3 linked regions of the Xenopus tropicalis genome follow. The protein of the gene in region 1 interacts with the protein of each later gene in a pairwise test. Links are inferred from orthologs where the notes say so. Each region holds a gene or a part of one and is shown on either strand. Other genes may lie near its edges.

Evidence for each region.
Region 2: the proteins of cdc5l (region 1) and ppfia2 interact in a two-hybrid assay, tested with the Homo sapiens proteins (2 studies listed by BioGRID and IntAct). The link is inferred for Xenopus tropicalis from reciprocal best matches to the Homo sapiens genes CDC5L and PPFIA2.
Region 3: the proteins of cdc5l (region 1) and dixdc1 interact in a two-hybrid assay, tested with the Homo sapiens proteins (2 studies listed by BioGRID and IntAct). The link is inferred for Xenopus tropicalis from reciprocal best matches to the Homo sapiens genes CDC5L and DIXDC1.

What each region holds. Positions count from the first base shown.
Region 1 is NC_030681.2:148,160,871-148,167,330, reverse strand, and holds the start of cdc5l (cell division cycle 5-like protein), read left to right. Parts: upstream 1-2,418; 5' UTR 2,419-2,613; coding exon 2,614-2,658; intron 2,659-3,516; coding exon 3,517-3,620; intron 3,621-4,781; coding exon 4,782-4,943; intron 4,944-6,460.
Region 2 is NC_030679.2:52,879,022-52,885,528, forward strand, and holds the start of ppfia2 (liprin-alpha-2), read right to left. Parts: upstream 3,689-6,507; 5' UTR 3,370-3,688; intron 1-3,369. UniProt on the Homo sapiens protein: Alters PTPRF cellular localization and induces PTPRF clustering. May regulate the disassembly of focal adhesions.
Region 3 is NC_030683.2:84,568,283-84,574,858, reverse strand, and holds the start of dixdc1 (dixin), read right to left. Parts: upstream 3,689-6,576; 5' UTR 3,427-3,688; coding exon 3,364-3,426; intron 1-3,363. UniProt on the Homo sapiens protein: Positive effector of the Wnt signaling pathway; activates WNT3A signaling via DVL2. Regulates JNK activation by AXIN1 and DVL2.

The DNA.
Region 1 (6,460 bases):
TCTCTGCCAAAAGCTACTTTTTTAATTAAGTTTGAGAAACCTTGTATCTTTTTTAGTGTTCAGTGCAGGAGTTCAAAGGCAAATGAGGGACTTTTCAATAAGAATCTAGGACTGCGAGCTGAGCTGTTACAATTGGGACTGTCCCACGAAAATCAGGACAGTTGGGAGGCATGATTTAGCGTTTTGTTCAGCAGCAACAATCAAGCAGTGGTTTAAAACAGAGACAGGGATATGAATAAGGGAGGACTTAAATAGAAAGATAAGTCATTAAAAGTAACAATAACAATACAACTGTAGCCTCATAAAGCAATAGTTTTTGGCTGCCGGGGTCAGTGACCCCCATTTAAAAGCTGGAAACAGTCAGAAGAGGAGGGCAAATAATTTAAACACTATATAAAATGAAGATCAACTGAAAAGTTGCTAAGAATCCATTCTATAACATAGTAAAAGTTAACCTGAAGGGGAACCACCCATTTAACCTATATTCTACAAATGTTCCTAAAGCTTAATACCCTCAATTAATTGTACTTTTATTTTCTTTTGATCTGGAGATCAATCTCCAGACTGCCACCACTCTTACAATGGTTTTAAGATGTTGTACAGGTATGGAATCCCTTATCCAGAAACCCATTATCTGGAAAGTTCCGAATTACGGAAAGGCCATCTCCCATAGACTCCATTATAAGCAAATAATTCTAATTTTTAAAAATGATTTCCTTTTTCTCTGTAATAATAAAACAGTACCCGTACTTGATCCCAACTAAGATATAATTACCCCTTATTGGGGGCAGAACAGCCCTATTGGGTTTATTTAATGGTTAAATGATTCCCTTTTCTCTGTAATAATAAAACAGTACCTGTACTTGATCCCAACTAAGATATAATTACCCCTTATTGGGGGCAGAACAGCCCTATTGGGTTTATTTCATGGTTAAATGATTCCCTTTTCTCTGTAATAATAAAACAGTACCTGTACTTGATCCCAACTAAGATATAATTACCCCTTATTGGGGGCAGAACAGCCCTATTGGGTTTATTTAATGGTTAAATGATTCCCTTTTCTCTGTAATAATAAAACAGTACCTGTACTTGATCCCAACTAAGATATAATTACCCCTTATTGGGGCAGAACAGCCCTATTGGGTTTATTTATTGGTTAAATGATTCCCTTTTCTCTGTAATAATAAAACAGTACCTGTACTTGATCCCAACTAAGATATAATTACCCCTTATTGGGGCAGAACAGCCCTATTGGGTTTATTTCAATGGTTAAATGATTCCCTTTTCTCTGTAATAATAAAACAGTACCTGTACTTGATCCCAACTAAGATATAATTACCCCTTATTGGGGGCAGAACAGCCCTATTGGGTTTATTTAATGGTTACATGATTCCCTTTTCTCTGTAATAATAAAACAGTACCTGTACTTGATCCCAACTAAGATATAATTACCCCTTATTGGGGGCAGAACAGCCCTATTGGGTTTATTTCATGGTTAAATGATTCCCTTTTCTCTGTAATAATAAAACAGTACCTGTACTTGATCCCAACTAAGATATAATTACCCCTTATTGGGGCAGAACAGCCCTATTGGGTTTATTTAATGGTTAAATGATTCCCTTTTCTCTGTAATAATAAAACAGTACCTGTACTTGATCCCAACTAAGATATAATTATCCCTTATTGGGGGCAGAACAGCCCTATTTGGTTTATTTAATGGTTAAATGATTCCCTTTTCTCTGTTATAATAAAACGGTAACTTGTACTTGATCCCAACTAAGATATAATTACCCCTATTGGGGGCAGAACAGCCCTATTGGGTTTATTTAATGGTTAAATGATTCCCTTTTCTCTGTAATAATAAAACAATACCTGTACTTGATCCCAACTAAGATATAATTACCCCTTATTGGGGGCAGAACAGCCCTATTGGGTTTATTTAATGGTTAATTGATTCCCTTTTCTCTGTAATAATAAAACAATACCTGTACTTGATCCCAACTAAGATATAATTACCCCTTATTGGGGCAGAACAGCCCTATTGGGTTTATTTAATGGTTAAATGGTTTTAAGCAGACGTAAGTTATGGAGATTCAAATTACAGAAAGATCCCTTATCAGGAAAACCCCAGGTCCTAAGCATTCTGAATAACAGGTCCTAAACCTCTACCATATTAGCCATTGAAATAGCCTGGGTGCTTCCAAAGCTTGCAATGTTTACTTACTCAGGTGACTTAACTAATAAAGGGTATCTCCTAACCTTACCTTTACCACTTTTACAATTACTTCACACTATTGCAGCTGATAAACTACAACTCCCATAATGCCTCTCCTCTCTCTTGCCAGGGAATTCCTCTCACTTGCCGGGGAATTCTGGTAAATGTTGTTCCGCTACCGCTAAGGGCGCAGTTGTTCCGCATGCAATGCTAACCTCCAGCCACCAGAGGCCGCTGTGGGGAGTTACTGTATGTTCGCTATGCGCTGTGACTAGCAGTAGAGCGGCGGGCACGCTGGTGTGTGTGCGCGTCACTTTGCACAACAAGCCGGAGGCCGCTTTCCCCGTTTCTCTCCTTGCTACACCGTGCGGGCCCGGGGCCCCTAACCAGCAGCCAGGATGCCGCGAATTATGATAAAAGGCGGGGTGTGGCGGAACACCGAGGTGAGAGGGGTTATGGCGTTGTGTAGCGGCTCAATGAACTCACATGGGCGCCTTGATATTTCCAACAGGGGATTCTGGGAGTTGTTGTTCACAGGGTCCCAGCTTGTGCTTTGGCCTTTTCCCTGTTAGTGTTTCAGGATTGTAAAGCTGACCAATTGCACAGGAGTATTTGAGTGAAGCTGAGCTGCTTAATTATAGGAAATAATAGTGTAATTTAGGTGCAGGTAACTAGTTCAATGTGCCTCTATGGCCTGTAGAGAAAGCCAATATAGGTGGGCCAACTTATACTACAACTCCCAGCATCCCATTGCTCGCCAGATTGTTTTGTGATCGAATTCCAACCAAGGTGTGTTTTCCTATAGCAACGAATCAGCAGATTGCATTGGTTGTCAATTGGTTGCTATGGACTGCAGCCACTGGGGGTTATGCCTTAGCTATTTGCATTATAGTCTCAGTCTTCATTTTTAATGTGGGGTTTTTATTTTAAATGATTAAGCTGTTTGTTCAGCAGCTCTCCAATTTTGAATTTCATCTGCTATCTGGTTGCTAGGGTCCACTTCATCCTAGCAGCTAAGCAGTGGTGTGGAAGGTGAATAGAAGAATGGTCTAAATAGAAAAGTAATATAAAGTAAAAAAAAATAAAATTGGGCTCAGTGCCCTACGTTTTGAAAGATGGATAGGGACAGAGGGGAAGGGAAATCCATCAAAACCTTTAAAAAAAAAAAAAAAAAAAAAAAAATATATATATATATATATGCATTTTGCTTCATACTAAGATACCCCTGTACCCTATGTCTCCCTCACTTCTCATGTGTGGTGTTGATATACTATAACGCACTTTCCTCTTTATTTTCTCAGGATGAAATCCTCAAAGCGGCTGTTATGAAATATGGGAAAAACCAGTGGTCTCGTATTGCTTCCTTGCTGCACAGGAAATCGGCCAAACAGTGCAAAGCCCGATGGTACGTCCCGGCCATTATAGCCACGGGCCCGTAGCGTTCCATACGTTCCTGTTCTAATATGAAACCAGATAAACTGCCCCGCAACAGCTGGTATTCTGCATTGGTGGAAGGGGGGGGGGGTAAAGAGAATGGGCAAAGCAGGCATGGAAAGGGTTACACATGCACATAATGCACTGACAGTCTATCCATATTGTCTGTAATGAAGGGCATGGTCATGTGACTGAACATTGGGCTGTAAAGCTCTGCGTATATTGATGGCGCTATATAAATAATGATAATTTGGGTTACACCTAGAAATGCACCTTGAAGAAATGTGTATACATACATGTAGCAATATGTATTGCTACAATACATACATACATACCTACCTACATACATACCTATGTACATGCATACATACCTATATACATACATATTGATATATTAGCCCAATATTGCACCCTGAAAACATTTAGGAAATTGTTTCAGTGTGTAATCTTCTGCTATGAGCATTTAAAGTATTTTAAGTTTTTTAAAAAGTAAACATAATTTCAAGCAGTATATATCAATTAAAAGTATGCAGCCTTTTCATGGTTTTTAATGTAATAATATGGTTTGGAACAGTTCCCTAAGCCCCGCCCCCTGTTCCCCTGCTGATCTGGCTGGCTACTTTGTGACTCAAATAAAATGTAACAGTAGTCGCCTGTCCCCAGCCTGCCTTCAGCCTTCATCCTCCCAATCCCACAATCCCCTGCTGCACACGTGATGTCAATAAGGAAAGGAACATCCTAGTGCAATGCATTGTGGGTTATGTAGTTCCTGCATGCTGTCTGTAAGCTGTGGAGAAGTTGTTACAATCTGTAACATCAGTGTTTTAGTCCCTTCTCCCCTGCCAGGATTTCAAATGATGCAGAAAGAGAAGGACTGTTTTGCAGCTGGATTTCAGCATATAAAAATGGTATTTATTTTTACTTTTTGACGGAACAGATTTCAGTGATAGGTATATTAGGGATTTCTGTGTTGTGTGGGGCTCTTTAACAAAAAACAGAGTGATATCACAGTCAAATTAAGTTCCATGCTTTCACTTAGATTTGTTGGCAGACAAGCTAACAATTACCAAGTGCCCTTCTGAATATCTGTAGTAACATTGGTTGCTAAATTCGTTTAATGTCTCTGTGACAGGTATGAATGGCTTGACCCAAGCATCAAAAAGACAGAATGGTCCCGAGAAGAAGAGGAGAAACTACTTCATCTGGCCAAGCTGATGCCAACTCAGTGGAGGACAATCGCTCCTATCATAGGAAGAACAGCCGCCCAGTGCCTTGAGCACTATGAATATTTACTGTACGTACCATTCATTCTGAAAATGTACATTTGAATTGTTGTTGAGCAGTTTGAACAGTTGTTTTCTGATACAGCAGTGTGAATACGTTCCCATTCTATCAGGCAAGAAGTAACTGTACCCTTAACCAGAAGAGGAATTTGATATGGGTTTTTTTCTTAATCGCTATTGTGTCCTTTGCTTGTTTTTACCCCATACTGAGGTATAGTTTACCAGCCCAAACCTGATTATTAGGGATTCTGACCATAGCATTTGCTAGTTAAAGGACCAGTAATTTGAAAAATAGATTTGTTAGACATACTGGGATACATTTATTATCTCTTACATGTTAAAATCTTGTGCTGGCCATATATGTTAAAGGAACAGTTCGGTTTGAAAATAAAACTGAGTAAAATAGACAGACTGCGCAAAATAAAAAATGTTTTCGATATAGTTAGGCAAAAATGTAATCTATAAAGGCTGGAGTGGGCAGATGTCTAACATAATAGCCAGAACACTACTTCCTGCTTTCAGCTCTCTAACCTCTTAGTGAGTGACTAGAGGTGGGGCCACATGGGACACAACTGTTCAGTTATGTCCCATATGGCCCCACCTCTAGTCACTGATTGGTTACTGACTGCTAACAGCTTAGAGAGCTGTAAAGGGGAAAGTAGAGTTACATTTTTGTCTAACTATATTGAAAACATTTTTATTTTATGCAGTATGTCTACTTTACCCAGTTTCATTTTTACATTGAATTGTTCCTTTAAGATCCAGTTGACTGGTGACGAAGCCAAATAAGTGCAATATTACTTGCTTAGGCCTCACTGCTGGTAGGCCACATAGTTTGGCCTGTGGACCAATGATAAGCTCACACAGGGAGCTGTTGCAGACCACTTGGGGGAGGACAGTGTTCATGGCACAATAAAAGTTTTCAGACAGTCTGAGTTATATCTAGCCAAGGCCCAGTTATTGGTCATGGAAGCCATTTTTTGGTCCCATCTATAAGCTGCAGACTCAAGCAGGAGTGACTCTTTAGAAGTCCTGGGGGTGGGGGTTGACAAAAGATTACAATATATTCTAGGTTACTCTAACATTTGCCCATGTCCTTAAAGGAGAACTAAAGAAATAAAATAGAAATGTTGTACATTATGTTTAGGGCTCCTGTATCAGCCCAAGGCACCCACAGCCCTTTAGCAGGGAAGATCTGTGCCCCCAAAGATGCCCCAGTTAGCTTAGGTACCCACTCACACTATACTTTGTGTATATGTGTGTATATATATATATATTCTGCTTAATATTTCCTGACAGCCTCTAAGCTTAGTTTATCAACAGCTGCCCAGAGTCCGTTGAGCATGTGCGCGTCTCAGACTCTTTTGATAAAATCCAACATGGGGAGCCCCTGTGACAACTGTAAAGACCTGGATCATTGCTGCTATAGAGATGCTGAACCCTTAGGCTGGTGCAATAAGTTCATTATTCAAAATAGGGCATTTCTAGCCATATTAATTTGTAGGGTTTAGTAGTTCTTTAAGGTTGA
Region 2 (6,507 bases), on another chromosome or scaffold:
AGCCCTTTCCACATCTGCTCCTACTTCCCCCTGCCCAACTCACAAAACCTCTGTTCCATTGGGCCTATTAAGCCACCCCATTACATTATTGTCCTTTCCATTTGCAGAATTACCCTGCCTTTTTTGTGTCATGACGCCTCCCCATGCCTCACTGCCTTACTCCCCTAACAAAGCAGCTGGTAATTTACTGTAGGAAAGGTGCCAATCCTAGTTCAGGGCAAGATTTGCCTTTTTTGATCCCTTATGCCCAACTGCTCTGCAGAGGGGGTAATTCCATCACATTATCCAAAACATATTCTAACTTTTACATTGATTTATATTGTTTTTATTCCTATTGGTTTTTACATTTTTAGCCTTCCTATTTTGCTAATGTAATAAGCGAATCTGTCCTGTTTCACGTCGCCAAAAAAATCAGTGATCATGGCAAAAAAATGCAAAACACACTGATCAAATTTTACACGGGTGACGTTTTTTTTTTACTTCAAATGTTGGAGAGACCTTTTTTTTTTTGAGAGAAAAAATTTGCTGATTCCAAAAAGTGGCATTTCGTTGCAAAACCATGTCTGGGGAAAAAATTTGCTCATTACTAGTGACCTTTTATTAATGTTCTTATTCTGCCTATTTCCAACTAAATATGCCATCTAGTTCCTGGAAGCCGAAAATACACTGATGCTAAAGCTTAAATGTTATCAGTATTCTTGTTGTTTATTGCATATATTAGTATTCAGGCCCTCTACTATTCTGGCTTCCAAACTGATGCCAGGTTGCTATGGCAATTAAACCCTAGCAACCAGGTAGTTGTTAAAATGTCAAGTCTACAGCAGCCCTACCCTTATAAGACTCAAAGCTTTTGTTAAAAGGACAGGACGCAGATAAAAATTTGTCCCAGGTACACTTGGGGGCCAGTGATTAGAGGTACAGATATTAAGTTTTTTTAGATTGATTTGTTAAATATAGGAAGACAATTAAAACAGATACTGCATGATGAACAGCTTCAGACTCATACACTGGACATTGGAATTATGTACAAGCTTTTAAAAGAGAAAACAACTTTTATGTATATATCTGAATTACTTTCTCTTTTCTTAGCTAGCTTCTGCTACACTGTTTTAAAAGTCAGGACTGCCAGTGCAGCAATAGAATTGTACATTTACAATTAATTAAAACCATAGAAAATGGTATTTTTCAGTTTACATCCACTTTAACAATTTATTTTATATTTGGGATTATCCTTGTTATATTTGGTAATCCCCCCCCCACCAAAAAACAAAACAAAACAAATAACAGAATTTAATTGAGCCACATAAAATGGTATTAATGCACATCATTGCTACATTCTATATACACTTTCTTTTGTCCTGATGTGTTTAATTGTTTGTTCATGATTTGCCATAACTCAGTGTTTTTTAGCGGCCCAAACAATTGGAAAGAATCTGTTTATTTACTTTTTTTTTTGAGCCACCTCCAAAGTTCAAGAGAAAATCAACACTACATAATTATGTGTTTCACACATTTAAACTCCCACAGATCCTTCAGAGGAAATAATGTAAGGCAGAGGTTGTTCCTTTACCACACAGTCCTTGGTTCTGCCCTCCAGGTTTAAATATTAGAAAAGAAAAAAAAAAAACAGCAAGTACTGTGGAATGATATTTGGAAAGAATACAATACTTTTTCTTAGGTTGCATTAGTCATAGCTTAAATGCAGCAAGGTCTCTGTTAAATGTAACAATGTTATTTCTCTTTTCTAATGCCCTATACTACTGTTTTGGGAACTGGGGTGTCATTTCTTGATCTATGGACACAGGGCCAACTATATATCAGTCAAGGTAAGTAAAAGGGTCTATGGAAATATTGGGTTATGCAGCTAGAATATACAGTCAAGGTGCACTTCATAACTTCATCTAATAAATGAATGCATTGTTTAAAGACCTTAAGCAATCACTGGAGTCCATAGAATGCAAAAGATACAGTAAAGGTCATTAACTCATAATTAAGGAACATTCATGTAACATTTGTCAATATATTTCACAGATGATCGTTTTTAATTTTTTTTAAGCTCAGAACCCCTGCCCAGTAGTTGATGAACTAGAGTTGCTGAGCCATCCTGAATATAGACATAACCTTCCCCCTGCATATGAGCAGGGATCAGTGGCAGCACTGAGTGGCACCCTTCTGGGAAAAACTCCCTTTCTTGGCCCCATTAAGTTAGTGAAACATGAACTCTGCAGGGCCATGCACTGCACATAAGAAGTATACCAGTGCCCATGCAGATTAACTGTACCCCATATACAGTCCTCTGTCACCACTCCCCATGCTCCGCACTTTACTCATCCATTTATGGCATAGTCCCTTAAAGATTTTTCTGTCACCTGCTCAATATGTTGATTTCTATTTGCATAGAGACCATATTATTTGCATGTTTTGATTATGACTGAAATGTAAATATATATATATATATATTTATTTTTTATTTTTTTTTCTGGGTGTGCCTCTTATGTGACAGTGTGTCCCTTTAAACAGCAGACAGGTCAGTGTAATGCTGCAGTTCTAAGAGTCACGGTCATCCTTTTATCCCCCCCCTCTTGGTGTGAACCTGTCCCCACACCTGCACATATGATCGTGTCTTGCTCCTGTCTCACTTCATTGTCACTTGGGTTACTGTTCCTGACTTATCTGTGCCTGTATCCTATCAATGACTCCCTGCCCTCTTTCTTTCAGATTTTTTCCTGTTTCATGAATTGAGCTTGCACAGACTGGAAACTGTATGCTTAGGAGGCACAGCAATCAACTCTGAAAGAGATCTCCTATTTAACCAAAATGCCTCAGGGATGAGTAGAAGAAATAGATGCATTAACCCATTCAGTGCTGCAGCATGTGCATAATTATGGGGTGCAATTCCCCCACCCACGTACCCACCCATGGTAAATCCTACTGCTCTATTCAGCATGACTTATTTTTCACACATTTTAGAAGAACACTGGCTGTAGGTGCCGCACAGTGTAATGCGAGCAGGAAAATCCTTGCCATTGTCTCAATTGCATTACATCATGCATATCCCTCCTCCTATTTAACTCCTTGCTTTCCAGGGCACTCTATAGAAGATACTAGCAAATTGCACTAATCTAACACACACACAGACACAGAGATGGACACACAGTACAAAGCTGTCAGATGAAATGATTAAGGATGAGCAGCCCTGTGATAGAGAATATGTTCCCTGCAGAAGCCATCACTAGATGAACAGCACTTGTCTGCCAGAACCAAGGCATTTGCATGCATGACTCTTAACTTTCCCGTCATGTGTGTATTAATATAACAAATATTAACAAATCATCTACATGATCTCATTAGAAAGAGATTTTTCAGTACCTAATCTTCTATAATTCTGTTCGCTTCTTCAAGAGATCAATGAAATCAGTCTGCAGTCTCCACTGGCTCCTGGAATCACACTGAGCACTCCTGGACCATTTCCCCATCAATTCGAACACAAATCTTGCTCACAATATGCTAAAGTCATAGCACCCTCCAGGCACGAGTCTGTAGGCAGAATCAGCTTGGCACTTCAGCATGTCTGCCTCTCCTGTCAGCACCCAAATGGAAAGGCATCCATGGGAAAAATGGCACATTACAAATTTTGCAATGGGAAGCAGAGCTCGGTAGAAACCATTGTTTAGAGCTGAAGAGGGGAGGTGTCTCTTAAAGCCCCAGCATCCTTTGACAGCTGCATGAGAATGAAGGGAATCTGCAGCAGCCTCTGTATACTGAAAGGTTATTTGCATTGATTACAGCATTCCAACTAAGCTATATCTCATAAAAATAAATATTTGATTGGCTGGTAAAAAAAAATGACTGACATCAGAAAATGTTCTTGTTATATTATACACACACCTACATACATGTAAATAAAACACATTTTGAAAAATATATACACACATATACATATAATATATAAATATCTTATATTATGTATAATATTTTTAAGATAATACTGCAATTGCTGTATTTATTTATCATGCCCAAAAAATCTGAAACTGGCTTATTATTCTACAAATTAATTGATAAACATTAGAAGACGTCTTTTGGAATGATTTAGTTATAAACGTAAATACAAAATCTCCCATTAGAAATAATATCATTGTAATTTTTTTTCTATTTAATCTAAAATATGAGCAGTGTTTTATGGTAAAATCAAGGGCAAATAATGATGTCTATTTTTACAATTGGGTATTCAGTATTTAAGGGAAAAAAATAACATATGATTCTATTAAGGCAAAATAATTTCTGCTTTTATCATTTTGAAATAAGGTTTAAATGAATGTTCAAAAAGAGCAGCAAGGAAAATCTACACTAAACACCTAATTTGATGAGAGTTATGCAACAGTTTAACATCTGATAGAGAAAGCAGAAAAGTTCACTGGAATCTCTCATGATTGTTCCCTTTGCTGTTGGAGTGGTTTCTACCAGTCCCTAAATAAATTCTGAAGTAATCACGCCTGCTCTTTCACTTACGTGCAGATCTCCCCAGCTGCCTAAGCTACATTTGCCGGTAGGCTTGATGCACATTTATATACGCTGGCTACAGGAGCGTGCCATAAGTCTAGCATTATATTCTGTATTTAAAGGTTAATGTAACGGCTGCAGCTGGGATCTGTAATGTGAAGCAATGGTATGTGGCATCTGCCCCGATGTTGTGGAACTACAACTCTCAGACCCTCGTTGCAGCTTTTGATATGCTTACTGTGGCACGAGTTACCCATCTGTTATGCTTCCTGGCTTATTAATACCTCTTATGTACCATATGTTCCCAATGCTCTCAATTCTCTAATTTCCTATACAGTTTCTTCTCAAGTATTTGTCCATTGCTTTGTTCTCCTATATAGTCAGTTGTCTAAGCAAATTCATTTATGCCATTCTCCTGTTTGGGTAGTTGTACACTACAGCAGTTTTGTATGACACATGGGTTAAGGGCTACTTGCAATGCGAAAGGCAAATATCAGTGGAAAATGACCCACAATGATCCCTGTGTTTTAACCAAGCAACCACAATGCCTTATGTTCCATACCGCTTTTATTACTAGTCATCTTCCCTGGCTTTAGCCTGTAAGACATGACTGCTTCCAAATTGCAGTTTTGCGGGTAGGATAGACTTTTATAATGTAAAGGAAAAAGAAAACACACACATTATTAAATAAAACATATTCTTACACTATGCAATGTTGCTGATGACCAGAGGCACATTGAGAAAAGAATAAATACATGTTTGGGTCAAGTATATGGAACACAATAAATGCAAGAAAGATTGCTACTTTGGTAAGTCAAATGAAAGCTGAATAACCACAATACCTTTCAATAATGTCTTCATGTCTGTGCCTTGCTCCCACCTTTACTTTACCCCCCCCCCCCCATTTTTCTTGTATTCCAATACACCACTGTGACTGAAGCAGCACCTTGCTGTGTCACTAACTACATTATAATACCAAATGGTGCAAAGCGACAGTGTCCATCACAGTTTGAACCCAGATGTTGCATTCCTGCACTCTTATTTGGGTTTTTTGGCATGTTTCTGAGAATATTGCTATTACTTTACCAGCAGGTACCAACAAAATAATAGACATAAGGTTAATTGTCACTTTCATCCTTTGATAAATATGCCCATAAAACCCCATAAAGAGATTTGTGGCATTTCTCTCTAGTGACCTCTTTTTTGCTCATCTCAAATTTTCAACTCTATTCAGTAATTTAGATGTAAATATTTATTAACCACATACCTTTTACAGTTTCTATAGTTATATCAAGTGTCCGCAAAATGATCTAGAACATATTACAGGTATAGGACCTGTTATCCAGAATTCTTGATACATAATTCGATAAGGTGTAATTTGGATATTCATACCTTAAGTCTAATAAAAATCATTAAAACATGAATAAAACCCAATAGGATTGTTTTGCCTTCAATAAGGATTAATTATATCTTAGTTGGGATTAATCACAAGGTACTGTTTTATTATTATAGAGAAAAAGGAAATCATTTTTAAAAACCTGAATTATTTCATTAACATGGAGTCTATGGCAGATGTTCCTGAATAATGGGTTCCAGGATAACAGATCCCATACCTTTACAAAATATATATTTATCCTAACTATAATGTATATTTTAGGGCATTAGGGTTTTATTTGCAGAGTTGTTCTCCTCTCTGGCTTTTTATACACTAATTTACATGAATATGTACTGTATATATCTATGAAGTTATAATAAACTTCATGCAAATGTAAATGGAATTTATACAGGATGTTTGCACAGAATATAGACACTTTAGACCACTTCACTCAACATCTCAGGTTTCAGTCAGTAAGAAGAACTGTGACTAGTAAAGACAACTCAAAATTGTGGCATAAGTGGACCACTTGGACATATAAAACACACGCAACATTATGGGGTCCAGTTTGGAAATACAGACTACACAAGCCAATGTGAAAGAAGAAAGTAATTTTGGTATCATATGTGGTG
Region 3 (6,576 bases), on another chromosome or scaffold:
ACGCATGATTTCATTTGAAAACAGCACAGCAGAAAGGAAAACAAATGTTCCACCACTTAACACATGAGAAGTTATATAGTGAAAGCCTTTGTCACATGACTTTTCTACCAAGATTAAAGGATTTCATAGTCTTTTCTGGATGCTTGAGAAAAGTATTTTCCACATAGTGCATATCCTGCCACGTAGTATCTATCCTTAAGGTAGAAATTATTTGCCTCTATTCATTCGGCAAGATGCTTTAGAGCCACCAACATTTCTCATTGGGACGGGAAGAGATACTCTTCCAGTTGTAGCAAGATCACTATGGCTTGTAAGAGGCATTGTTTTTTCACTGACAGCTTTTCCCACTCAGGACTATGCATGTTACAACTATTACAGATAAAGCTGTAATTAGGTGCAAAATAGGAAAGACTGTGAAATATGCAAGGGCAAAAGATTGACTGTTCAGGAGCTATATTTAGTCTTACAGCAGCTAAAACGTGAGCGATGTGTGACAATCAGATGCAATTCTGCCTGGAAAGTAAAAGTCCGCCCACTGGGGCCAGCACTGTGGAAATGTGAATACATTTGAGTTTCCATGGTTATCCCTTAACTCTAATCCAAACACTGGTAATGCTGTTATGGGACAGGGCCCATCTGCTTCGAAAGTTGATGGTTGGTACCGCCAGGTGGCAGTAACCAGTAGAGATAAGGTGTACCAGAGATACATGGCCATACATGTAGCAATTCTGATCTTTCAGGGCTGAATCGTCAGATCTGGTGGTAGAAACAATAGGAATTCTACCTCCACCTGCTGATTCAGCCTGAGCGCAGATTTTGTTTGGGCGCCTTTAATGGCGCTTGATCAAAATCTTTTAACCCAGCTGATCAACAAGACAACCGATATCTGCAGCCTTTGCGATATAGGTCATCTTGTTGATCCACCATACACGCACAAAATATTGTACGAAACGAGGTTTTGTACAATATCATTGGTGCATGTATGGCCAGCTTTAGAAGAATGTTATAAAACCAGAAGCTCATCCAGTACTCTAATTGTTTGGCTGCCAAAGGACCTAAATTAACTGTATAGAAGGGACCTAAAGGTTAGCTTTTTATTGTTTAAAAGGGACAGTGGCAAAAGATCAATCTGTCAAGGGTGGATCAAACCATGTATATAAATTACCCAAGCACTGATTCAAGATACAGTTCAAATCAGATGGGCAAAACCTGAATCAGCCATTTGACAACATAAGTCCATCAATCGTATATGAATGTCATCAATTATACATGAATTCATTGATACAAATTCCTTTTTCATTCTAAAAACAGTGAAACATCAATTTTTCATACCCTGTTTTACGTTTTCCTGCATTTTACTTTGTTTTTTGTGACCCAAACTATTTATAATGCATTTCAGTGGATGCTTTCTATGATTTTACATAATGTTTACAGATTTTACATAAGAATTTTGGCCTAATGTTCCTAAAAATATCTGCTTGTCCTCTATGAATGTTGTTATTAGTGAAATAAAGAGGTTTACAATTCTAACCAGATGCCTAAACCATGGTCCTGTCTGTAAATTATCAGTTCCAATGAGTCTGTACCTCATAAAGCCATGCACAAATCACTTACTGCTTTAGGTTGTGCATCTGACTTGCGCATGATGCCCCATAGGGTGACATTAATGCTGCACTGCGTAACCCTTGTCATTAAAAATGCAAATATTGTATTTTAAAGTAAAAGTTATTCCTGGGCTTATATCCTTTGAGTACTTGAAAAATAAGTTGTTTTAACACATTACTATTTACATTTTATTGGATTTTACACAATTTTTTCCTGGTCACCTGAAAAACATAAAATGAGGGTTATACTGTTTGAAATAAGTTCACAGAAACACCTGGAGCAGATCATTATCACTCTAATGACATGGTTTACTCTGATGACCCTAACATGTTGATTTGGGGATTATCCGGCAAGCTACTCTTGCCTGCTATTTGGTCACACCCTGTTTTGACTGTATTTGCATTAGCACTGTGTTAATTGCAAATTTACAAATATACCACTGGCCATGAAGTAAAACATTTGCGGCTTAGTATTATGCCACTTGGTGTCACATATCTAATATATATGAAAAGCGGAAAACTGTGGTTACAGATCTCTAAAGGCTGATCAAGTCATTACATAATAATAATGTCAAGTAAAAAGGTATGGATTTGGCAGTTAAATCAAACATGCCTGCAGCAATTCAATAAAAGAACTGCATGAAGTGTGTACCAGGTCCAGGTCTGTAAGAAAAAGTAATTAAGAGTATGGAAGTGCTTGAAATATTTTAAGATACCATGTATGAATAAAGCCATTTATGTTATATATGTACTGTAATTTAACAGGTATATATCTACGGGAGTTCTGAGACAAACACCTACATAACAAAAGGAATTGTCAAATGGTAATTAGGATTAATACAATTGTAATTAGAATTTCTTATCAGGTATAGTTTTGTCATAATCACCTGATATGACCTGATATAATGCAGCTTGCTTATCTGAGTAGCTAACTAGAGATCTGCCGCGTTTTCGTAGTAGGGGGTCAACAGACGTCCCCTTGTGTGGTTGTTCACATAGTAGAAAACATGCTGAATTTTTATTTAGCAACCACACACAACAGGAAACCTGCTTTGCTAATCTGAATACCACACCATAAAAAAGACCAAATGCAAAATTGTTTTGATTAATTGATTGCTTCAGCCTACATAACTATCATCAAAACACCAGAAAGTTACACAGAACTTTACATTAATTTATAAAACACAGGGGCCTTACAATAATTTAGCAAACATAGGTAAAGAATACTTTTTTGTATCAAATGACCCTGTTCCCAAGAGCTTACAATCTAAAATAAAAGTCAGCTGAGCTGTCTGGGGGGGATGAGATGCTGGAAGATGTAGTTAAACAACATAGAGGGAAAGTAACATGTTTCCCAACCTTAATTTAAGGTAAATCTGTTTGTTAAAATAGTGTATGAAAAAAGCCTACCTGTATAATAGAGTATATGATACAAGCATACATGAATTTAAATGAATTACACAAATCAATGACATCCTGCCAGAGACTAGAGTAAGATGATATATGCGGCCAGGCCAATCTAATGTGTAAGCCTGCTAGAGATAAAATGACAGGAAGATATGACCCAGTTGCTGCTCTACTGATGCTGAGAAAAGGAAGCGCTAGAGAGACGAATCTCTTAGTTACCAAGCCACCACTTCCCCCGACTTTTACAACTTTTCCACACCTCTTTGCAGTGCCAAAACATAAAGGGTTACACTGTCACCAAAGCCAACACATCTGCCTGGCACAGGAACTGCTTAATAAAACATGCATTTACCTCTGGGAATCCTTCATGAATAATGTCCAGCAAATTCCCCCTGGCCAGACTGGCAATCATCATTCAGTAAAAAGCAACCCCCAAACGTGGCTCTCTTCTCTTACTGTCACCAATGCTCCCTGTGCTCCCCGGCTATTTCCAGACACAAAGAATAAGGAGCCATCAGGGATAAAGCTGGTCCATGCAGCCCGTTAATTTGAAACCAGATCTTGAGAGCAGAGTAGGGAGGGGGACGAGAAGTGCAACTGAGCATGCTCGTAATGGGATCCTACCAGCGTATGGTGTGTCAGGCTTATGTCTCTATGGCAACTTGTAGTTTATAGGATGTTGTCACAGGAAAAATAACAGAAAACAGATGCAAACCTCAGTAAGCTTTCCTGCCTGCTGAGCCCACATGAAACACATCACACAAGCTACCCCTCACAGTGGGTACATATCGTACATTTTTCATTATTCAAGATATTTCTTATCTTGCACTATTGATCAATCACATGAACATGAAAAGATGTGCTAAATATTGTATTTTCTCTATATTTGTTTCAGAATGTCCTATTCCTAACAACTGCTCTTCATTGTTTATTTTTTTACAGATTTTGAATAATTTACCTTCTTCTTCTGTCTGATTACAGCAGCTAAATCAGTTTTGCTCTGTAAAGCTACAACTTTATTGGTATTTTTACTTTTCATTCTATTCAGTCCCACTCCTGTTAGGCGAAGACAGATGGGCAAATAGTTGCTGCTACTTTTAAGAAAACCACAGTCACGGTGACTAATCTCAGTGACTAACCTCCGTGTAAAATAGAATATTGCCGCGACCGTGTTGTACAGGTCACCGTGACTTTTAACAGTGCCTATTAGGGTGAAGACACACGGGGCGAGTTTGGTAATTCAGAAGTTGAATATATCTGTTGTTCAGTCTGCAGTCATTCAGCTAGTGAACTACAGCACCCAGAATCTCTAGTCAGATAAATAGAACTGTGCACTTCTGCATATTGACAGAACGCTGTATTTGTGAAAGCGCACAGCGCAACCAGCTTTTGAAATAAAGAAGGAGGCAGGGCCATGGGTTTTCCATTTATTTACCAAACTGGCTACTTTTTTTTCGACCTAGCAGAATTGTTTGGGAAAGAACACTATTTTTGAAAGGAGGAAGATGTCTATGGCTAGAACAGGGTATGTGTTATGTTTGTGAAAGGCTGATTTTTCATATGACTTTTGGTACATGTATGCTGGCCAGACAATCAAGTCAACAGTTAACTTTCCTGCACTTCCTGTCTTTCTTCCATGTGATACAGCTGATTGATCCACAAGGCAGTCTGTTTCACCATCAATAGCTTGTGTAGCCAAATTGTATTTATATGTGGTAACTAACCATCATGTGTGTCATCCTAATCCATGGTCCTTAGACAGTCACCCCAATGCCAATTGTACGCACTGATGGCAGTAAATGTCTGGGGTTTCAGTGACTACTGGAACAGAGCTTTAAGCTTCCCAGATGACTTGTAGGCATGCCTTTTGCTGTCTTACAAAACAAAACACCCCTATTAGCTAATTACATTGCTCTTTAAGCTACATTAGAATTACAGTCTTAACATTGAGCAAGTCTTTTAATTTAAACACAATCACCAGCATGTAAAATCAGTTTTAGGAGCCTTACTGTATTACAGAGATTACGGTACAAAATCCTTGCTTAATCATCCAAAAATTGTTTTACCCACTGGAGGTGCAAGCTAACAGAACCTTTATTCTGGTAGGGGGACAACTAGGGGGACAGCTGTGCTTCACCATACACAATCACTTATTATGCACATGTATATGCCTTCACATGCCCATCTGAACGGGAAGCACCTTCCTGGTGTTGGAAGCTTAGCGCTGGCATCTCTGGTGGGGGGAAGCTATTTATGATGACAGATGCTCCTTAAACACCAAAGTATTTCTGGAAGTTATAGGTCTGCTTATCTCTCAGCTAATAAGATGCACTCTTACATATATTTAATAGAGCTTACATTCTAAAAGAGCAAGATTACAATTTTAAATTAAGTATTCTGACAGAGGAGAAAGTTGTACAGTATGTTGTACCATTGTTATAAGAAATATGAGAAATCTTTTATAACTTAACTAACAAAGGTAAGTAAGCTGCACCCCTGGGGAATGCTAGAGCTGCTACCATAAAAACAAAAGAGGTGCTTCTTAATATTTTGCTGCCTAAGGGGGCAAACCCAATGCTGTCCCACCACATTTCACACAGACTGGTGTAGGGCAGTTGATTGTTAGTGTAGAGAGCAATTACAAACTCCTATACTAAAGACAGGCCCACAATGGCCAGGGGAGCTGCTGTAAGATGCCATAGACAGTCACTATTTATTGGGGGGGTCAGCTGAGACTTCTGTGTATTTCCAATCCCAGGACCTATTTTGAATCGCAGTCTGGACCTAAGGCTTCCTTTAGTAAAAATAATTGACCATCCTGGGAAAAAACGAAAGCAAAGCCACACATCCATTTTACAGCATACTTACCTTTCCAAAGCATCCTTAGCATAAACTTTGTGCAGTACAGGTAATGGACCCATTATCCAGAATGCTTTGGACCTGGGGATTTTCGGATAAGGGATCTTTCTGCAATTTGGATCTCCATACCTTAAGTCTACTAAAAAATCATTTAAACCCAGTAGGATTATTTTGCCTGCAGTAAGGATTAATTATATCTTAGTTGGGATCAAGTACAAGGGACTGTTTTATCATTACAGAGAAAAAAGAAATCATTTTTAAAAATTAGAATTATTTGCTTATAATGGAGTCTATGGGGGATATGGAGTCTACGGCATTTCCGTAATTCAGAACTTTCTGGATAATGGGTTTCTGGATAAGGGATCCTATACCTGTACCATTCAATTTACAAAATGTTATGTTACTGCGCATACAGTTTAAAGCTTGCCATAACTGTAGGTTGCCCAGCAGCTCCCTTGAGGAGGGCAACATTGGATTGATCCAATCATTTGGCACGATAGCTGAACAATTGGATCACATTGATGGGATTCAGGCTGTCGGGGCAAGGACCGCATCAACAAGCAGTTATGCTCCTCACTCTGCCAGTATATTTAAACCTGCCTGATCGAGATATGGCCAATTTTTAGCCAGATATCGGTTAAGGGTGCCCATCTGAGGGTCCCATACATGGGTCAATAAGGTGCCAGCTCGGCAGCCTGTGTATGCC